Oreochromis niloticus: one gene and its partner. The protein of the gene in region 2 interacts with the protein of the main gene of each other region in a pairwise test. Links are inferred from orthologs where the notes say so. Each region holds a gene or a part of one and is shown on either strand. Other genes may lie near its edges.

Region 1 (10,609 bases), on a different chromosome or scaffold from region 2:
CCTGCGGGTTCACCTCGATCTGAGACGCTCGGCGAATGGCCGATTTGGTCATGTGCTGAACGCGCTCCATGAAGGCCGGTTACAGTTTGATCGGCTCGATTGGGAGACGAGGGAGTTCAGGTCAGGCTGCTGGGCCTGTTGTTGTAGAGATGGGGGGGATGGGGGGGTGTTGATCTGAAGATGAGCTCGGGTCAGGTGGCAGTCGCTTTATCTTCTCTTTTCTAGTGGCGAAATAAAAAAAGAGACTGTTAAACACATGAAAAATGGGATTTCAGAATCACCCCAGGCCCTCGTCCCCTCATGCGACCTTTCCATATCAGCACTACATAGTGTGATGATAAGACGGCTGCTCAAGAGGCGCCAGCTGAGGCCTGATGATGTGTTAAGCTGGAGTGTAGTCTGAGTGGCAGCAACACAAATGTCATGACCACAGTCCTGGGACATGTTTGTAAAGAGGGAGGAGAAAAAAGTTTCTCATGACTTTATAATATGTTTTGTCCCCCCTCTGTCATTACATCCCAATCAGCTGGGGGTCGTAGATTGTAAGCAGAGTGCGTAAGCAGGAAATAAAAGCACGTCACACAGTGCAGCTGCAGGCTCTCGACACTGGCTTAAATCCCCTTTTGTCATCTGATCTGTGACTTTCCCCAGATCAGAGGCACCGTGACAAGGTTACCGTGCTCTCGCATTAGAGGCTCCTGCACACAGCGAAAAAAAGAAAAGAAAAATCTTCCCACTTGTGCATCGGCTGTGCCAAGGTCTTTTCTATTTTTAACAAGATTAAAATCCACACAGGCGCACCCCTGCTGGGTACATTGTACATTACATCCCGCATTACAAAAAGAGGCTCAGCGATCTACACACAGCTTAGGAACCTGAGAGCTTTGCTGCTAGAAGGTGTAGGTGTTAGGGTGGTAATCCAGGAGTTTGGAGGTCCTCTGTGCAAAGTTTCAAGTTTATCCTCAGGGGGGCGCCAAAGGAAAAGTGCCCCATACTGCATATATTATGACTTACGCTTATGATACTTGAATTGCACTTTTAAACTCTAATGTGCCATTTTTATTTTTTTTTTTAAATCTTGTTTCCTCGTGTCTGTAAAAATAAAAGCAAAAAGGCAGCCATGGCTATTTTTAATCATTTCACTTTTTTCCTTCCACCCCCGTAATCTTCCTCTGAGTCACTCATTATCACTTGACATGTTGACACTTGTGCACACAGTTTCTCAGACCCCACGGGTTAACTCTCCAGCCCGCTTGATCAGACCTCACTGAAGTGGAGCGTAGCGTGGCTCTGGAAGAAGGAGGTTTGAGGGGTTTCATTTCTGGAGTAATCGACCGGTACACAGTCGTGTCTTAGCTTTGACCTGTGTGTAGAGGCGTACTGACAGAGTTCATTAATTCAGCGTATTAACCTGATTAAAGAAGAAAAAGACACTAAAATCTGCTGTTTTCATGCCAGGTGACGAGCACAGAATTGCTGATTGTGTCCTGCATGTGTCTTTCTCATCATCATCACCTGTTTTATCTCATGCCCATGTTTGACCAGCTCCTCAGGACGTACATATGCTGTTTCATCAACACAAGCAATCACTGTTACTCATAAATCCTCCAAGTCTCTGTATGTCCTCGAACAAATGCACCAAGAATGATCAGAAAGTAATCAGGCTGAACTTTTCCTCTCATCTGTTTATGATTTTTCTTCTTTTCTTCCACCCCACAGAAGCAGCCAGTGAAACTCCTCTTTCTATCAGTGTGAAGAGATTTAACTACACATTGAATCCCTGACATATATTAATATAAGAGAACGAGGAGTGGTTTCAACAGTACGTCTCTTTATCTACGTGATAAAATAATGCTGCTGTAGTAAATGAAAGAAATCTGTCTGTGCTGAGTCTGTGCTTAGACAAATCTGGTCCTCAGGCCTTATGTTTGACACCCATGATTTAGAGCGTTTGCGTTCAGTCTGGACTTTTAAACTCATTAGATTCTAAATATTTGGCTCCATGTAGAAGTAGGCTTTGACTTTATCAGCTATGGAGCTTCAGGGTGGCCTGAAAGGGACAGGCTGAAAGTCCTGTTTGGTTTGGGTCAACAGGTGGCGCTCTTTCAGCTCATTATTTGTGATTAAAGGGTTTTTATTGAGGTATTGTCTGTAAACACAACACCTCAAAATGTTTTGTATCCATGCTGGTAAAATGTTGTATGGGTGTAGAGCGGGGTCATGTCGTCCACTGAGGTCTTCAAGGTCAACTCAAAGATTTATTGGTCGAAAATTGACAAAAAGCCTTAAAACTTACTGATTCTTACAAGTCAACATATAAAAAGTACAGTATAAAGATTTAAAATGTCTTGTCACATTTGACCTCTGACCTCTTCTTCAAGGTCAGCAGATTGATCTGAAGGTCAAAGTGCTAATAATGCTAAATAGAACTATTTAAAATGACAGAAAGCTTTCAGACTGACACAACTATGCTTTTTGAGTATAGCTGACACAGGTTATAAAATACAAAACTATTTAAACACATGTGCAATCCTCACGAATAAGTATTATGTTTGTTTTTTTAAACCAAATAAACTTTTTTTTCACTTCATATTTATCACTAAAAATGTCCATTTTTACTAAACAGTAAAATGAATTTCCTCAGCTCCATCTAGTGGTCTGCAGACAAACTGTGTTTGGACTGAAGCAATCAAGAAAAATCTTTGCTTGTGCGTCTTCTGCACAGACGGTTTGTATTCTGGGCTTCCCTCTGACAGCAGCTCAAACTACACCTATAGAAATTAATATTCATCCGCCCCGGTGTTTCCCTGCCCCGCTCTGTTCCTCTCAATCATCCTGTGCCCGAGGTCATGAGCCTTCCACTTCCACTCATCCTTCTCTCCTCCTTGCTTCCTTTCTCACTTTTTATATGAGAAATTAGCATTTTTGTGCAGCTTGTAGTTTGACCTTTGAGGTGAAATTACATTCTCTCTGTATGTCAGTCTGCACACCGCGTGTCTGATAACAAGCGAGCCACCGCTGCTCGGCTTCATCCTCGGCTGGTCTGCAGCCGCATCATTATAAACTGAGCTCTGTCAGTCAGCCAGGCTGTGCTTTTCTTTCTTGTGTCTAGAGTGCAAATAATCTTCATTTCCACTGCACAAAATGAGTGAAAATGAAATGTTGACAGTAGATATAAAGCTTTCATCTTTTTTGGCCCACACAGGCACACCTACATCCTGATGCAGTGCATACATCTATTTTCTTATTTTCAGCAAGCTCTTTACTCGTCATCATTTCCTACTTTGCTTCTTAGCCTGTTTATACATCTCAAGTGGCTTAGGGCCAAATGTGTCACAGGAAACATGGTCTAGCTAACTTCACAAACACAACACCTTTATTTAGGTTGAAGCTGTGGCCTTTATTTCAGTGGTAATTTTGTAGTTTAATGGAACACATGAGCCACTGTGTCAGCCCCAAAAGGGCTACTGATTAAACCTGAGGGATTATAATATTTATTAATAAGCTCCCAGGCTTCTAAAAGTGTTGGTGATAAAGGATCATTAGCTGAATGCTATCTTGTGTCCTAACCAAAAGTCAATAATCTCAAAGCAACACCTGATGGATTCAATTTCAAATTATTCCAACAAATCAAATCAAAAGAGGAGTCTAGGTTAACTGTAATTTCCCATCTTAGCCACGTCCTTTAATATGGAGAAGGCCCCAAAAAGTAAGCAGTAGATCATTTGGGTGATATTATTTTACCTCCTGCAGTTTCAGTAAAGCGGGTTAGGAAATGAATCTATGTTTTACTTTACTGTACCATTCTGCTGCTACTTTTGAAATTTATCTAAAAGGCCTCACGCAAAAAACACAGTGCATTTAATCATTTGATTAGCTTATTTGTATTTACCGTGCAAAGCTCGAGGAGAAATCTGTTTTTATTTTTAGATTATCACCGTTAAAGTGCAGATTGCTCCTCTGGGCTGCTGAAAGGACCGCGTTGTCCTATAAACACAATCAGCTGTTGTTAGCCGTTCTTGCCAAGCGATAGATTTCTCCAGTGTGACCAACACAGAAGTGGAAAATAATGGTGCTGATGTTACTGGTAATAAAGTTTTTAGAGATGGAAATAGTTTCAAAATAAACTGAAATAAACTGAATTAATCTTCTGTTTTTCTCCTGTGAGTTTTGTCGCTGTGTGCCAGAGCGCGCAGGTACATGCACGCCACTTTCTGCCCACTCTAGAGGCTAAAGTGACACTAAAAATAAGTCATTAGCGATGCTTTTTGTCTTTGCAATCAACATCAGCACTTGCAAGAGAAGTAGCTGGTGTAATGTTAGCATTTCCTCTTAGAAAATGATTGACAGCTGTGAAGTATGTAGGTTAGACAGATGCATGGGCTTACTGATGTTGTCCTGCTACTCTAATTGGGTCATGGCTAGCTGCACCCACTCCTTGATAGCAGCTGTTGGGAGCCAATACCTCACATAAATCACTTTAAATTTGGCAGCATATATATATATATGTACAAAATTTAAGGTCTTTATCATAAATAAACATGTCTAAAAATATATACATGTGTAATATTGCATTGTATAGCATGATATAAACATAGTTTCATAGTATTAAATATAATTGATTTCTTTTTTTACCAACTGTTGTGTATTTTGCATTTGTCACATGTCAGAAAGAAAATCTTACCACCCACTTCTTTCTAGTGTTGCTTTTTTGTGCGTAACTCGCTCCATGTACTGTATCTCCTTGAGAGGTCATTGTGAAGTAAAGATACATCTAAAAGTATCTTAAAATTTTTTTCTTCTTAATATTTTTTTAATGGAAACACATCTAGAAATAGAATAAGATTATCAAATGGAGCAAAAAAAAAAAAAGAAATACAGTGAATTCTCCTGGACCACACTGGGAAATATTGTATATCGTACTGCAGCATTAAGTATTACTAAGATAGAGTTGATTTGACTCCTCAGTGCTTTTAAATAAAATCATGTGTTCGGGATAGGAATGTAAGAATCTGGGATAAGTCTTTATCCCTCTGGGAGTTTTAGCCCAGTCCCTGTTCCCCCTGCTTCTCTCTACAAAGCTGTATTTACTGTAAGTGAGCAATGACTTTATAAGAATCAGTGATTCATATCGTGCTCCTTAATATCTTAACATAAAACATCTCCTGTAACCGTTTAACTTCTGCAAGTACAAATGTCCTTTATGTCCCTAACCAGTTAAGTACCTGACTCAAATAACTCAGCTACCAATAATAATACGTTTTAATGACTCTTCTTATCACAAGATTTACCCTACTGGGCTTTTATCCTGTCTGTATCATCATTTGTCATCATCAACTCTCTGTCAGCCTTCCTACAGAGCAGCTCAGAGGATGCTGGCTCTTACCTTTCAGATGAGAAGAGAGCTGGTTGGAGTTTGAGAGAGAAATGTCAGATATGCCGTCCTCTCCAAGGCTGTAAACACAGTGAGAGATGGAGAGAGAGGGAGGGAGGGGAGAAATAAAGGAGAGAGAGAGAGAGGCAGGACATCCCAGCAAAGATTTCAGGAGAGTGGGGATACCAAATTTGTATTAGGGCTCCTGAATTATACATGCAGCCACCGGCACGTACCGCTGCATTTCAGGGTTCAAGTTTGGGTGAGAGTTCTGAAAGCTGAGATCGCGAGGTCATTCCCTCGTTTAAAACAACTCAGTCATATACGCAGACGTTACAATACTTTTTGTTTCTGGCTCTGTAATAGTTTATTATTGATGATGCAGTATTACTGTTCATTTAAGATTTTTCAGGGAAAGCATGGTAATGCTCTTAAGCTCTCTGGGCTAAATGGCTGACGTATTAGCCACACTCCTAGAGCAGATTTGTTTTCTGGGAAAATTATTTTGGGAAATGTGGAAAATTTGCCAGCTTTAGAAGGACACCAGTCCTGTTGCACTGTGCCCATCTGTGAAGAAAGAGATGCTTTATGTGTTACTGCCATGCCATCCTCACCATGCGTGCTTTCTTTATCCTTTCTTTAATGCATTAATGACGTGGCTGCTGGGAGGGGCCAAACACGTCCCTGCGATCACTTGAAATCTGGCTTCCGATCAAATACCACACCTAGACCACCCTATTGTCTTCATTATCCTGGCAGCCTGATATACACTTGGCACATGTGTTGTGCTTTTTGAACAGCTGATGACACCTCTAAATTTACAGTATACATTTGGCCATGACCACATCATTGATCCTCTGGGACCTTGAAATTGTTGAAGCAGCCACGAGAAAGTTATTTCTCTTCTATTGCTTAACTCGCTAACTCTGTGTTTCGCAGCTGGTGGAGAACAAACAGCAGATTTGTTTGCCTGGATGTGAATTTAATGTGTCACAGTAATACTTGTGAAAGCTAGTCTGCTTATCAGATCCATTCATTTTGAAGCTATTTTAAATTCGTTAGCTGTGAAGGTGGGTCTACCTGACATTGTATGAATTTCATTTAAAAAAGTATTTTTATCATTGTGTGTATGTGTGTTTGCGAAGTGTGTGAAGTCCTGGACAGCATCCTCCACTTTAGAGAAATCAGTCGAGACAAGGGTTTCAAAAAGAAGTCTGTAAAAAGTAAAAATAACCCCCCTGCTGTGGCCCAGAAAGCATTGCATCTGCCTTATAAGGGGAATCAGCATGTAAACAGGCTGTCAGTCACATACTGGGAAGTCTGCTTTGTTGATGTTGCTGGTCTCTACTCCACATGGATACACACTTCAAACAATCCGAGAACACGGGCAAGCAGATAGTTCTATCTTTTATGACAGCTGTATCTTTCCCAAACATGAAGGGGAACCTTGATCCTCCCTCTGGGAGACAGCTCCACTGTTTCAGGAACATTTGTAAATAGAAAATTAACATAATAATAAAATAATATCATATTAGCCGAGAGTCAAAAGCACAGTCAGAACTGTTCATGAAGAAGAATTTGTTGTGCACAAAATCATAAGAAAAGGACGTTTAGTAAGAAAGACTGAATTTAAATCTAAGGAGTAGTGGACGTGCTGTACTTGGGACATTATTTCCTGATGCATTCTGAAATCCAAAATTAGCCATTTATCTGGGGACTAAAAGGGTCCAGATGTTGTTGAATGTACAGATTATGAGTGTTCTTAAGAGACTGTTTTTAAGCCTGCTTGTCGTGATCCATGCAGGGTTAGTAACCTCTGAAAGTCTTTGGTTAGCCCCATTTAACCTGCAGGACTGTCTGGAGGCACCTGGGCCATCCTTTGCTACCTTGGATGAAAACTTTTGTCGACCCTGATTTCGTAACAGGGGAGAAAACTTGTCAAACAGTCAAAAATTATGACCGTCATCTCTAAAAGGCAGTCTGGAAAGTATCAGGTGGAGAAACCGGCTGCGCTGACTTCAACGGTGACGGGAAATTTTTAGAAGAGCTGATTGTTTTTTAAAGCCAGTAGCCAGATGATAATACACTGTCCAGCAGCTATGGATGGATAAACAGGGCTGGTTGTCAGAACTATAATGGTACAAAGTAATATGGAAATCAATACATTCAGTTTTCTTGGGTTATATTCGATCACTTGAGTTTTAAAAGTGTCCAAACACGTGACAGGCTATCACGTTTGGATAGACTATAGCAGTAACTCTCAAGGAATCAAGGACAGTTGAATTAACCCCTGCTAGCAACACTAAAATTGAAGCCTAAAAGGTATGTTTTCCAATAACTATGTAGTTAGAGGGATGACAGATATAGTGCAGATGGTCTTTTTAGAGTTGTTGAAGTTGCCATAAAGGTAGATTTCAAACTACTAACTAAAAATCTATCAGTAATTGCTCTAAAAAGTCAGTACTGATCTATTAGACGGACCGACTTTGGCATATGTAGGACAAAAAAGAATTTGGCATCAAGCTGATGTATTAATGTGAAATATATTTGACATATGCTAGGTATAGATTGATTTTTGGCAACAGAATATTACTGCTGATAATCAGCAGGCGGGCTTTCATTGGGCAGTGGTGAGGTGCCAGTGGCCGACTGAGGGTTAGAGCTCATTGTGTCTTTGTGTTTGTTTGATGCCAGGACTGAAGGGATAAATCTAACTCTAAGTCTGGAATGCGCAAATCATTTTCAGCTCCGAGGTGCTCTTGAGGTAGGCTCTCGCACATCTGAGAAAGCTCTTCAGCTGTGGACAGATCCAGCTCCTGCTGCACTGGACAGCCTCCAGGTGTGGAAGTGTGGGAGTGGGAACACTCCTGAAACTGGGCCCACTGCTGTCACTGGAAGTCTAAAAATAACACTCTTGGCAAAAATAATCGCTTCTCTCCTGTTATGTAAAGTCCTTTGAAAGTGATGATAAATATTTGCGTTTATCTGGTAGATTAAGTGTCTCTGCACTTAATTTTCATTGTCATCATCATGTTCTGTCTTGCCTTCATGAGCACACAGAGCCTTTATGTCCAGCTGAAAAGTAATTATAAAATCTCTTACACTAGGAAAATAGTTTCCTCCTTTTTTTTTTTTTTTTTAAATCCCTAGAGTGGTGCAGCTCTGCAGCCTTACATGGTGAAATACCAGACTGCTCTAACCCACGACTAGCAAGACAGAAAGATTCAGAGGGAAAGAAACAGCTTGACTCATATAAAGAAAACCACAGCAGGGCAGAGAAAACAGACAGAGCTGCTGCTGCTACCAGTCAGAAGTCAGAGATTTGCTCTTTTAAACAGAGACGCAAAAAGAAAATACTGCACTTTAAACTTTTGTGGTTAAACCTGTAATGAACACACCTGGCCCTTTCTCTAGCAGTCTAAGGTTTTGCACTCACTCAAAATTCTCGCTGCGCACATACAAAGAAAATATATTTGAGTAGAAGCTTTCATGTTCCCCAGAGGATGAACTTCTTGTATTATAGATTTTTTTCATAAACTGTATAATGAATTTTAATGATCTGAAGTACATCCACAGGCCCTGAGTGTTGGATCTGAATGACAGCAGCTCAAAGACAACAACAATGTATGCAAGATTTGACACTTGGCAGCCATCTTGAAATGTAACCTGGCAATTAATTATGAGATATTTTGAAGCATTTTCTAAATTAACAGTAGCATCTGTAGAATCGGTCACGGGTCTGACACATAGAGACAGACATCCATTCACACTCACGTTTGCACCTTCCAGAGATTTCAGTGGAGGTGCTTGTGGTTAAACCTGTAATGAACACACTTGTCTTTGAGCAGATCTCATCACCACTGCAGTTATTTCTGTTACGTTCTGCTAGCCACCAAAATGAAATAAAGGGCGACAGGTACGCCCATACCTTGCACTTAGGCAAAATACAGCCAGGTGGTTGGAGCTGGTCCATGGACTATTTTAATCCAGGCGAAGATCCCCTAAAAAATGGAAACAAACAATATCCAGAAGACAACAAAAAGTCAGTATTAGGCCTCAGTCACACAGGCAAGAGACTAATCCGAGACCCCCCGGTCAATATTCCCTGATTGTTTGGTAAAAGAAATTGGTGATGAAGAGGTATTTAGTGGTACCCTAAAAACCTCTTTGCAATTGCTTTAGTTGCTTGCAAATTGCTGCAGATTTGTCTGCAAGCACTTGTAAACTATTCACCGAGCAGTGGTAAAACTTCAAAAGTTGCAACTCAAACCAGAAACAGAGATTGTCCCTCTTCGGAGTACAACTTGCGCTTTTTGATTAAAGTGTTGGTTTCTGTTGTAAAGCACAACGTTTGCTTTCAAGGCTAACAGTCTCCATTTCTGGTTTGTGTCACTCTTTTCATTGTTTCACTATCACTCGGCGTCTTCCCTGCAAACTTCGGGTACCCACAGCAATCTGCCACTGATCAAAGTAATGAAAAAAAGAGGTTTTAGGTCCAGCAGCTTCTTTGAAAATTTGCTATATTAACAACTAATGATTTCACATGATAATAGTCAGCAACCCCCAACCACCACTGTCCAATACATAGGTTTACCTGCTGACCAGAGATTTCCAAGCAGTCACTGACCAGTCTGAGACCAGTCCTTGGGTCAGTAAACCTGGGCATGAATAACTACAGTGAACGTGAACAGCAGCAATGTTTGTAGGGTTATTGACGTTGGGCTAGCTGGCACACAATGGTCTGCTACCTGGTGTCTAGCTACAGAGCTATGGTTAGGATAATATAAACACATTAGCAGAGCAAAGATGGAGGACGAATGGGAAGGTTCTGAGGGGCAGAGACGAGTGGCAGGAAAAAGATGCTAAAAACAGACCAAACTTCAGTCAAGCGAACATCTGTGATGATCCATCTGTCACACCAGGTGAGTCACTAGTACATGAAAAATTCATATACCACTTGAGCTATAGGACCCAGAAGCACAGCTGATATGTCATCACTTAACGAGTGGATAGTGTCATCCAAGAGTGACCACTTCTTGATGTGCACAACAATGCTCCAGTTACTCACTCATCTCACAGCTACTTCACACATAATAACCACACATTGTTGAAAACAAGTATGTAAGTGGAATTCCTGAAATACTGCACGCAGACAGAGAGAGTGGGGCAGATCGCCAGCATTCACACGCCGTGCTCATGCAGTGGTTTGTGTGGATGTTAGTGAACATGGGAGGA
Region 2 (10,609 bases):
ACTATTATCAGGATGTCCTAAAAACTCCCTGAAAAGCCTTCAGTTAATCCAAAATGCTGCAGCAAGAGTCCTGACAGGGACTAGAAAGAGAGAGCAGATTTCTCCTGTTTTGGCTTCCCTTCATTGGCTTCCTGTTAAATCCAGAATTGAATTCAAAATCCTGCTCCTCACATACAAGGTCTTAAATAATCAGGCCCCATCTTATCTTAATGACCTTGTAGTACCATATCACCCTATTAGAGCACTTCGCTCTCACACTGCAGGCCTACTTGTTGTTCCTAGAGTATTTAAAAGTAGAATGGGAGGCAGAGCCTTCAGTTTTCAGGCCCCTCTTCTGTGGAACCAGCTTCCAGTTTGGATTCGGGAGACAGACACTATCTCTACTTTTAAGATCAGGCTTCAAACTTTCCTTTTTGCTAAAGCATATAGTTAGGGCTGGACCAGGTGACCCTGAATCCTCCCTTAGTTATGCTGCAATAGACGTAGGCTGCCGGGGATTCCCATGATGCACTGGGTGTTTCTCCTTCACTTACTATGTGTTAACAGACCTCTCTGCACTGAATCATGCTTGTTATTAATCTCTGTCTCTCTTCCACAGCATGTCTTTATCCTGTCTTCCTTCTCTCACCCCAACCGGTCGCAGCAGATGGCCCCGCCCCTCCCTGAGCCTGGTTCTGCCGGAGGTTTCTTCCTGTTAAAAGGGAGTTTTTCCTTCATACTGTCGCCAAAGTGCTTGCTCATAGGGGGTCATATGATTGTTGGGTTTTTCTCTGTATGTATTATTGTAATTGAACTAACGTCTGAGATCCTGTTAATGAGACTCATAAATCATATTTACTTAAGAATAACATTAAAGCATCTTAGACTAGTGAAACATGATGAAGCAACCACCCACGTGTGTGAGCTGTGAAAGAAAGATAAAAATCCTCATTTTTAAACCAGAGTGAGACAAAACAATCATTCACTTAAAATCAAAATCAGCTTTTCTGTGACCAACCACAGCAATCTGCAGCAATATTCACGCTTTTTGGAAAGAAACCAAAGAGCTTTAACTGTACATGTGTCATATTTGCACACTGAACTTAGTTTTGATCAACTTCAGTTTAAAAACTTAAGACCAGACTAGTGATGGTGTTCAGTGCTTTTGAAGGCTAATCTCTGGAACTACAGTTAGGTCCATAAATATTTGGACAGAGACAACTTTTTTCTAATTTTGGTTTTTACCACAATGAATTTTAAATTAAACAACTCAGATGTAGTTAAAGTGTAGACTTTTAGCTTTAATTAAGTGGTCTGAACAAAAAGATTGCATGAGAATGTGTACAACTAAAGCATTTTTAACTCAATCCCTTCATTTCAGGGGCTCAAAAGTAATTGGAAAAATTAAATAACTGAAAATAAAATTGTCCATTTCTAATACTTTGTTGAAAACCCTTTGCTGGCAATGACAGCCTGAAGTCTTGAATTCATGAGCATCACCAGATGCTGGGTTTCCTCCTTTTTAATCCTCTGCCAGACCTTTACTGCAGCAGCTTTCAGTCGCTGTTTGTTTTTGGGCTTTTCTGTCCAAAGTTTAGTTTTCATCAAGTGAAATGCTCAACTGGGTTAAGATCAGGTGTCTGACTTGGCCATTCATGAATATTCCCCTTCTTTGCTTTAATAAACTCCTAGGATGCTTTGGCTGTATGTTTTGAGTCATTGTCTATTTGTATTATAAAACGCCGCCCAATCAGTTTGACTGCATTAAGCTGAGCAGACAGTCTGTCTCTGAACACATCAGAGGTCATTCAGCTCCTTCTGTCCTGTGTCACATCATCAATAAACACCAGTGTCCCAGAGCCACTGGCAGCCGTACACACCCAAGCCATCACGCTCTCTCCACTATGTTTTACAGACGATGTGGATGCTTTCGATCAGGAGCTGTTTCACACCTTCGCCACACTTTTTTTCATGCCCTCATTCTGATAGAGGTTGATCTTGGTTTCATCTGTCAATCTAGCCTCTCTATTCTTGAGGTTTATGAATGACTTACGCCTTGCAGTGAACCATCTGTATTTACTTTGACGCAGTCTTCTCTTTATGGTAGCCCTGGATATCGATACGCCTACCTCCTGGAGAGTCTTGTTCACTTGGTTGGCTGGTGTGAAGGGGTTTCTCATCACCATGGAAATAATTCTGCGATCATCCACCACTGTTGTCTTATGTGGACGTCCAGGTCTTTTTGCATTTCTGAGTTCACCAGAGGCTTTCTTTCTTTCTCAGGATGTACCAAACTGTACATTTTGCCACTCTTAATATTGTAACAATTTCTCAGATGTGATTTCTTTTTCTGTTTTCGCAGCTTAAGGATGACTCGTTTCACCTTCATGGAGAGCTCCTTTGACCGCATGTTGTCTGTTCACAGCAAAATCTTCCAAATGCAAGCACCACACCTCAAAACAAGTCCAGGCATTTTATCTGCTTAATTAAAAACAACATAATGAAGGAATTGCCCATGCCTGCCAATGAAATAGCCTTCTAGTCAATTGTCCAATTACTTTTGGTCCCTTTAAAAAGAGGCTGGCACATATTAAGGAGATGAAACTCCTAAACTCTTCATCCAATTTGAATGTGGATGCCCTCAAATGAAAGATGAAATTCTACACATTGTGTCACTATAATTTCAGTAAACAAGTAAAAAAAACAACCCCCCCCCCCCCCCAAAAAAAAAAAACAAAACTTGTGTCAGTGTCCAAATATATATGGACCTAATTGTAGCTGTGTATGTTTGTGATCACTTACAGGCAGCAATTTCGCCATCCAGTTCTCTCAGCCCTTCCTCTATTTGCTCCTTTATCACTCTGTAGCTTGTTTTCTCAGCCTCTGTATCTTCTGAAAGAGATAAACAAACATGAAATATGAACCACCGTCACTCTATCCTTCATTCTTTCTGGCTCTCTCCCACACAGTCGCTTTAATTTTCATGCAGAACTTCCCCAAATGTCTTAAAACACGACCAAAGAAAAGCTGTTCTGGAAATTCTGAATTGCTTTGACTGCATTTTAACAGGATATTGTGGTTGGACGGTCATTTCAGTGTGTGCCAGCTGTTTTTGTTGCATTTGCATGGTCGCTTTTTAAAGTAGTCCTTCTTTCAGCGCATCCTCAATAATAATTTTAGGAACCATGAACATATTTACACTGTGCTATTTTGTGATTGTTTTATGCATGTGTTTAGTTTTCTTTATGTAACTATTCTAACAACTTAAAAAAAGGTTGGTCATGTGGCTTTTTCGAAAAGGTTCATTGTCTTTTTTTGGATTCATAAAAGTTATGCACTCACTGGTTTTGGATATAATCTGACAAATTAAATAGAGGATCTGACAAAGAATGGGTTAAGTTGCTAACACAACACATGTGGGATCCGACTTTTTATTAAATCTTGAAATATTTAACAGGCTAGGATCAACATCAAAGTGGAAACTGGGCCAGTTCTTGACTCCACTATAATGATGAGCGGTTGATGCCTGCACTATGAATACACAAAGCGTGTCAACAATCCAGCCGTGCACACCAACTTTCTTGGAGGAGAGAACCACCTTTGCAGGCAGCCGCTCCTCCTCAGCCTGACGAGCCTGAATTCAAAGCAAAAAACTGTTAATGGTTCTCAGTCATCGTGTGCATGAAGGCTATCAAGGCAGGGGTTAATTATTTACAGCACTGAGTCTACACTGCTCAGGGTGTAATGAACCACGCAACACAAAGGCACCAAGTGGGGCTGCATTGAATTTACAAAAAAAAATTTTTTTTTTAAAATCAAGTTTTACATTTGACCTCTCACCCCGGAGAGATGCAGGGATCATTTTATAATGTTCATACATGCAACCCAGAGGCACTGGTTATTTCCAGTGTGACTGGACTCCATTGGTTCAGTTGCAATGATGAATCACTTCTGAAGTGGGGATTCTTCACCGCTTTAGTAGCTGACTTTTCTCAGTTTATGAAATCAAATAATGACATTTTTTAACAAAAAGCAAGAAGACACTCTGACAACTGGGATCTTGTTCTCTCATGTCCCTGCATGGGTGCCATGAGGACCAGTGTTGGCTTTTCCTGGCCTTGGTGCTGTGTCAGCATTTAGACAGACAGCTAGCCAGACAACTATTTTGCTTTGGTCCACTGGTGTGTGAGTAATGCTACAGTGATTGCACATGACAGGCTGTCAGAAATTGGACCGGGTCAAGCGGAAAGCAGGGATCAGCCACTCATCTGCCATCTCCGCCCATTCCAAGCATGCACACAACAATAAAATGGACAGAAAATAAAAAGAACTCCCCCTCTCTCGTCTTCTTTTCCTTGCTCCAAATACATTTTTCAGATACCTCTGCTCCTTTACTTTCATGCATCATCCAAAGAGGCTCTCCAGAAGTCTTGTGCTCTCTTTAATCACTAAGATTTATTTCAGAATTAACGCTGTGAGGTCATAACTTGGTTGCACAAACTAAAAGAAATGAACAGCTGCTGGCATTTACCTTCACACATCATTTCTCTAGTCTCACATAGCAGACACAGAAAATCATTACTATATTGTACATTTGTTCAACAACACCTTTTTTGGTATGTCGGGCATACAGGGAACAAGAAGAAAAATGTGAGCCAGCATGCCCGGGGCCACGTAACAGGGTTGTTGTAAAGACCTCTGTGAAGACAGGCCGGCTTTATGCACTCTGGTCACCATATTGGGTTATTGAAAGGATTCTAGCTGGGCTTTAGATGAGAATCCACTAAATCTATTGGTTTACAGACACTGGCTTCAGCTATCATGTTAAAGTGTCCATACAGGTCTTCTGAATGTGTTCTCCTGCTAAAGTCAGATTCCAGTCAGAGCCAAATTAAGCTGGCAAAACAGGTGGTTACGTGCCTACACACCCCAGATATTTTATGTTACAACCATGTGTAGCATTTCCTCTCACCGTGAGCTGCAGCTGGTTGGTCTGATCTACCTGCAGGCACCATTCCTAGGTAGTTAAGCAAAATATATTTGGTTTCATAATGGAAACCCTCAGGCACAGTGGCTGGGATTGAGGCAGAAGCGGTGGAGCCTGAGGTAGCCATCGAACAGATGTGTATCAGACTCTCAGGCACATTAATTCATACAGTCAAAGCTGGACGTCTCACCTAGGGAAAATAACAACCAGAGGAAGAATAATATCTCGTTAGAGGCACAATCGTTACAGCCTGAAGGATGGGCTGGCTGAGGCTGAGGCACCCATTAATAAAAGCTAAGAAAATCTATATCTACACTCAGGCATTACATCATACAATATGTTATTTAATCTTTAAAAAGAAAAAAAGAAAAAGCTGTTATATGAATGACATAAACAGATGCCCCCCTCAGGTTTACAGTGTCCTACCCCCACTGCGTGCACTAAGGGGACAAATTAAATTTCCCCCGTCACTCACAGAGTGATTTTAGACTTCTGTGACTGCATGGGTCCCAACTCAGGACAGAAGAATGGGACAGGACATATTTGGGTACTTTTTTGTGCCTAGATCATGATTTACATAACACATGTGGCAAACAGATGGTCGTTTTACAAAACATCCATAAAAAAACCCCAAACAATTTTCAAATAAAATGATCACTGCACAAATATGAAACACGACTTTAACCCCCTGTAACTTCTAAGTTAATCCCCCCACATGGTCCTCCAGAGACGAGGTGACACCAAGCGGACCAAAAACTCCATTAGTGTCAAGTCTGCCAAATTAAACAAAATACTTCCGGGCTTAACTATCAAAATAAAATATGGCGTATAACCGAATACTTAAAAAGTTCAATCATCAAATAACAAAGCGGCTACAATAATTAACGTAAATTAAATAAACACAACTATCCTCAAAAGATTTCAGCATGCCCGCAAAAAAATAATCTACCAAATAACAGAGCCATTCGCTTTACTAACCAGACATGTAGCTTTGCTAATTAATTACCTGACTAATTACGTAAGTGTCCGCTGCACCCCTCGCTGGAACACCTAAACTCACATGCAAGCTACTGTTAGCTAGCTTGACGTTACACGTTTTACGTGCTGGAGATTCAAAACTTCATTTTAACTTAAGCTCAGCGGGTGTCCGTTTCTTACCGTCCTTATCCAAAGGCAACCAGATGTGGACAGACGACAAGCTGAACAGAATTATGAACACATACACACACACGCACTCCTGTAGCAGAAGCCGGAGAGGGTAGACCACCAATGGCAGGTAGCCGTTAGTACACAGGGTACTCTGGATGTTAGCGTACAAAACCGGGACCAATCTTCCTGTCAGAGCCTTCATAATAATACTCTCCTCTGCTACCGGACACCTTTCAACCTGTGGTCACAAGAGGAAACTCGCGGAATTTACAATCCCCCAATAACATATCTGTTATTGGGGGAGATAATCCTTGATTCTCTGTAGCTATAAAAATTTTGAGAGGAGAGCATCCAACCTTAGCACCCCGCCCTTCTTACAAATATTTAACTGGAACGCGAAATGTTATTTTGAAAGTGCAGACCGGAAGTTCTATTTTGCCTCCAGTAGCCAGCTCGACCACGAAAGCCAAACCGTGTTTTCACCCCAAACCGTTTGTGCTTCAGTGGACGGTAAAAGTGACGGAGACAACTGGTTTGACAGACTTCAAAGAGACAATAAACATAACTGAGAATAGCCATGGCACTCACCGACGCTGACGTACAGAAACAGGTAAACTTTATGGACCAGTTTAACTACGTCCATCCCACTGACGAGTGTTGTAACTTACGGTAAACATACATAATCTCAGTTAACGGGCCGAAACGTGGACTGCAGCACTGTCCCGCTGTTAATCATTATTCCGCACTATGTTTAACGTTTAAGGCAACGCCGCAATTCATTTAGTTCTGGTTGTCGGTGGCAGTTTACATTATAACGGGTGCAAAGTTAAAATTAATGCCTAGATGCTAACATTGCCATTAATACAAGTCAAGTTCATCTGATAGCGATAAATAATGTAATTTGGTCACTTTCTAATGCTAAACTATCAGTTTTAGTAAAACAGTAAAAGTGTGTACGCATGTCTATGTATCATTCAGAAAACAGACAGAAAAGACAGATAAAGGATGCACATTGTCAGAGATGTGAACTTGAACCAGCTGCTTTTTGTGTTTCTTATGGCAGATTAAGCACATGATGGCCTTTATTGAGCAAGAGGCCAATGAGAAGGTTGAGGAAATTGATGCAAAGGTAACTGAAGCCTGTCTGCCTGTCAGTCTTGTGGCTTTTGTGATAGTGACCACTGATTTAATGAACCTTCTCTTACACAGGCGGAGGAAGAGTTCAACATTGAGAAAGGTCGTCTGGTGCAGACTCAGCGGCTGAAAATCATGGAGTACTATGAGAAGAAGGAAAAGCAGATTGAGCAGCATAAGAAGATGTGAGAAAGAGTGGTCACTCAAACTACACGAATAGGAATGCATCCATCAAAAAAAAATTTAGTTAGCCTTTGGAAATGCTACACCACAGCACGCCTTTTCTTTCTTCTTTTTAGCTCCACTGTCCCATTGGTTTGACTGTTTCTGTGAGATGCTTTTTATCACTGTTTATCCCACACTTCAAACACTTACAGATCTGACACTCTGCAATCTCACATCTCTTGAGTAAACGCTGTCTTTCTGAGGCAGTGACTGATCTTCTGATAGCTTGTAAGGCATCCTCTGAACTAACCAACACGGAAGCAGCATAAATAGATTTAATCAATTCTGGACCAACAACTCTGAAGAAGAGAAAATGACGACTCTAAAAAGTTCAAAATAAAATCATGTTTGGTTCAAAGAAATGCAGGCTCTACCCCAATTAAAGAGGCAGGAATTTTACTTTAAGAATATCTCTGATAAAAGGAATTAATCAGTGTAATTAACACCCTCCACAGTCAGAGATCCAACCTGATGAACCAAGCCAGGCTGAAGGTGCTGAAGGCCCGAGACGACATGATCACGGTGAGCGATGAATGCTCATTTCTGTGTCCACTGGAAACCTCCTGTATTCAGATTCATCATAACTTTAATGATGAATTTGAATTTGCTTCCATGATTAGCTTTCATTCTTGCATTAAATTTTTGTGTACGTATTTCCACATGGAAATAATGTGCAAATGTTGTGTCCTGTATTTGACCTTCACTACTCCAGTACAGTGAAAAAGACTGGATGCTGTTTATTTACACGTACCATAAATCACGAGTCATATATGAATTTCTAATGTATCCAGTTGTCTGTTTTTGTCACAGGATCTGTTAAACGAGGCCCGTCAGAGACTTGCAGAGATTGCTAAGGACCCTGCTAAGTACTCCAGTCTATTGGAGGGCCTGGTGCTTCAGGTATAATCTACCATTATGATCTATGATTGCAAACCAAAAGTTGATATAATGTTCAGTTTTCTATTTTTAAAAAGTGAGCTTTTTTTTTTAATGTTTCAGGGATTCTACCGACTCCTGGAGCCGAAGGTTACCATTCGCTGCCGACCGCAGGATGCTGAACTTGTTCAGGTGACGCTGTTCTGGCTAGTTATTTAGGAAAGAAAGCACAGGCCATCTGCCTCTTTGTTGAATGCACAATAGCATAGAGTGGTTTTCTCTCTTTATTACCCAACAGGCTGCAGTCAATAAGAACATCCCGATCTACAAAGAGGCGGTGAAGAGCAACATAACAGTCAAAATCGATAAGGAACGTTTTCTTCCAGCTCAGATGTAAGATGATTCAGTTCTTCTGACTTTTTAGCACGACGAAGGAGGTCATGTGATTGTGTCAGATTGTCTGTTTGGTATTGTCAAGATTTAGATGCAGGAATTTTTGTATTTTTAATCAAATATAACAGGGGTCGGCAACCCTAGGCACGCGTGCCAAGGGTTAACTGATGGCACGGCCATAGCTGAACTGGCCATCGGGCATACCGGGCATTTGCTCGGTGGCCCGATGATTTTTTTTTTTTTTTTTTTTTTTGGGGGGGGGGTGTAACGGTATAAACAATGAAAGATGGTGGATTGGCCAGATGCTGGCCGGTGTGTAAAAAGAACTTTGGTGGTGGCTATCGCAGAGCTTCCACAGATTCAGTAAAATTAACAAGTGGTGGAGGCCAGCACGTGGATGATGGAGATCGGAGGCAGGACGAGGAGAGACCCGAGGCGGCCGCCGGTCCGAGCGTCAGGTGAACTGAACTTCAGGTAAGAAGTTATGACCTGCAGTCTATCGGAGTCAGATATAAACCAAGTTTAGGTGGAGTTTATTTTCGTTATGTTGACTTTTTACAGTCAGTTACAATAACTCGTACTGCGCGCTAGCTAGCATGACGGAGTTTCTATACAGCTGGGTGGGTGCTGTGATGTTACTGATGTTGAACTTTATTTAATTCATAAGGTTAGTTAGTAGAGTTTCCAACCGTCCCGTAAAAAGACGGAATCCTCCCGCATTCAGAGAAATTATTACGCGTTTCGTGTTTAGCTGAGAGGGGACGCAGTTTGTCTCGGACTTCAGCTAGAATGAGAAAGACACAAAGGTGGAGTTGTTCTGTCGTTACGCAACTGTTTCTTCTTCTCTCATTCTCTCTCCTGTTGCTACTTCAGTCATGAAACTGATCAATGATCAGCTGATCGGCTTTTCTCTCTTGTTTGTTTATCGCCCACTTTGCGCCAGAAAGAGGAAACCAGCGGATGTCGCGCTAAACAACAGCAGCACGTTTAAGCTTGATCAGCTGTTGTTAGAATTTATTTAATATCAATTTCTAGTATCAGCTGATGTTTGCTGGAGCCACAGCTGAAAAAAGTGCTGGTCATGATGTCGGTTTGTATATCTGGTGAGAGGGAAACATGAAGATGAAACCAGGAGATGTCCTTACTGACTCATCAGAGCTGAACAGGTGATGGAGAAACAGGTTTACCTTTTAGGTGACATGAATGAGTTGAAGGGAAGTTATGAACTGTTTCTGAGAGACAAATAACACCAGGATCCTTTTCTAAGTAGCTGACAGCTGGTAACTGTGCAGGGGTGGGTCTAGCAAAGTTTTGCCAGGGGGCCAGGTAGGGCATTAACAGGGAAAGGGGGGCACAAGGAAATATTTTCTTATTCTCATTTAAAATGTCTGGCTGTTTTTAAATAATTATCTGAAGCTTACAACCAAAGTTTTTATCTGATGTAAAATGTATAGAAATCATACATATACCAACAAGACAGTGTACATCACTGTCACAACAGCGTTCGTTTTCATTCAAAGGCTTTATGGCTTTAATACCTGGTGGGCCGGTCTTTAGTCAAAATGCCCAGGCTGTTTTTTTTTTTGGTCCCAGTCCAGCCCTGGGCACAACACGCAGTGAATTAATCTGAGAAGGTGCATCAAAAAATAAATGGCCGTGCCAGCGGTGCACATCGCAAATCAGCTCGCATAGACACATTAGTTGTATCTCTTCTTAATGACGGTATCTTAGCTAACAACCCCAAGTACCAGATTCAACTTGTAATTGGCTAAAAATAACTTAGCCTACTGGTAAGAGGGACGTTGTTAGCTTTCCACATTCCGACACTTCAAAAGCTTCAGGAGCTGTCCGCTCAGCACAGCATCA

The links.
Region 1: the proteins of bcl2l13 (region 2) and pln2 interact in binary tests that used the Homo sapiens proteins (3 or more experiments, as listed by UniProt). The two-hybrid records come from large-scale screens. The link is inferred for Oreochromis niloticus from reciprocal best matches to the Homo sapiens genes BCL2L13 and PLN.

Annotation. Positions count from the first base shown.
Region 1 is NC_031986.2:13,222,996-13,233,604, forward strand, and holds the start of pln2 (cardiac phospholamban), read right to left. Parts: upstream 5,547-10,609; 5' UTR 5,387-5,546; intron 222-5,386; 5' UTR 71-221; coding exon 1-70. UniProt on the Homo sapiens protein: Reversibly inhibits the activity of ATP2A2/SERCA2 in cardiac sarcoplasmic reticulum by decreasing the apparent affinity of the ATPase for Ca(2+).
Region 2 is NC_031972.2:61,938,873-61,949,481, forward strand, and holds the start of bcl2l13 (bcl-2-like protein 13), read right to left. Parts: upstream 6,550-10,609; 5' UTR 6,125-6,549; intron 6,119-6,124; exon of another isoform or gene 5,973-6,118; intron 5,157-5,972; 5' UTR 5,094-5,156; coding exon 4,952-5,093; intron 2,872-4,951; coding exon 2,782-2,871; intron 1-2,781. Other genes in the region: atp6v1e1a (V-type proton ATPase subunit E 1a), read left to right, coding at 6,693-6,725, 7,179-7,244, 7,325-7,434, 7,930-7,996, 8,285-8,374, 8,474-8,542, 8,649-8,743. UniProt on the Homo sapiens protein: May promote the activation of caspase-3 and apoptosis.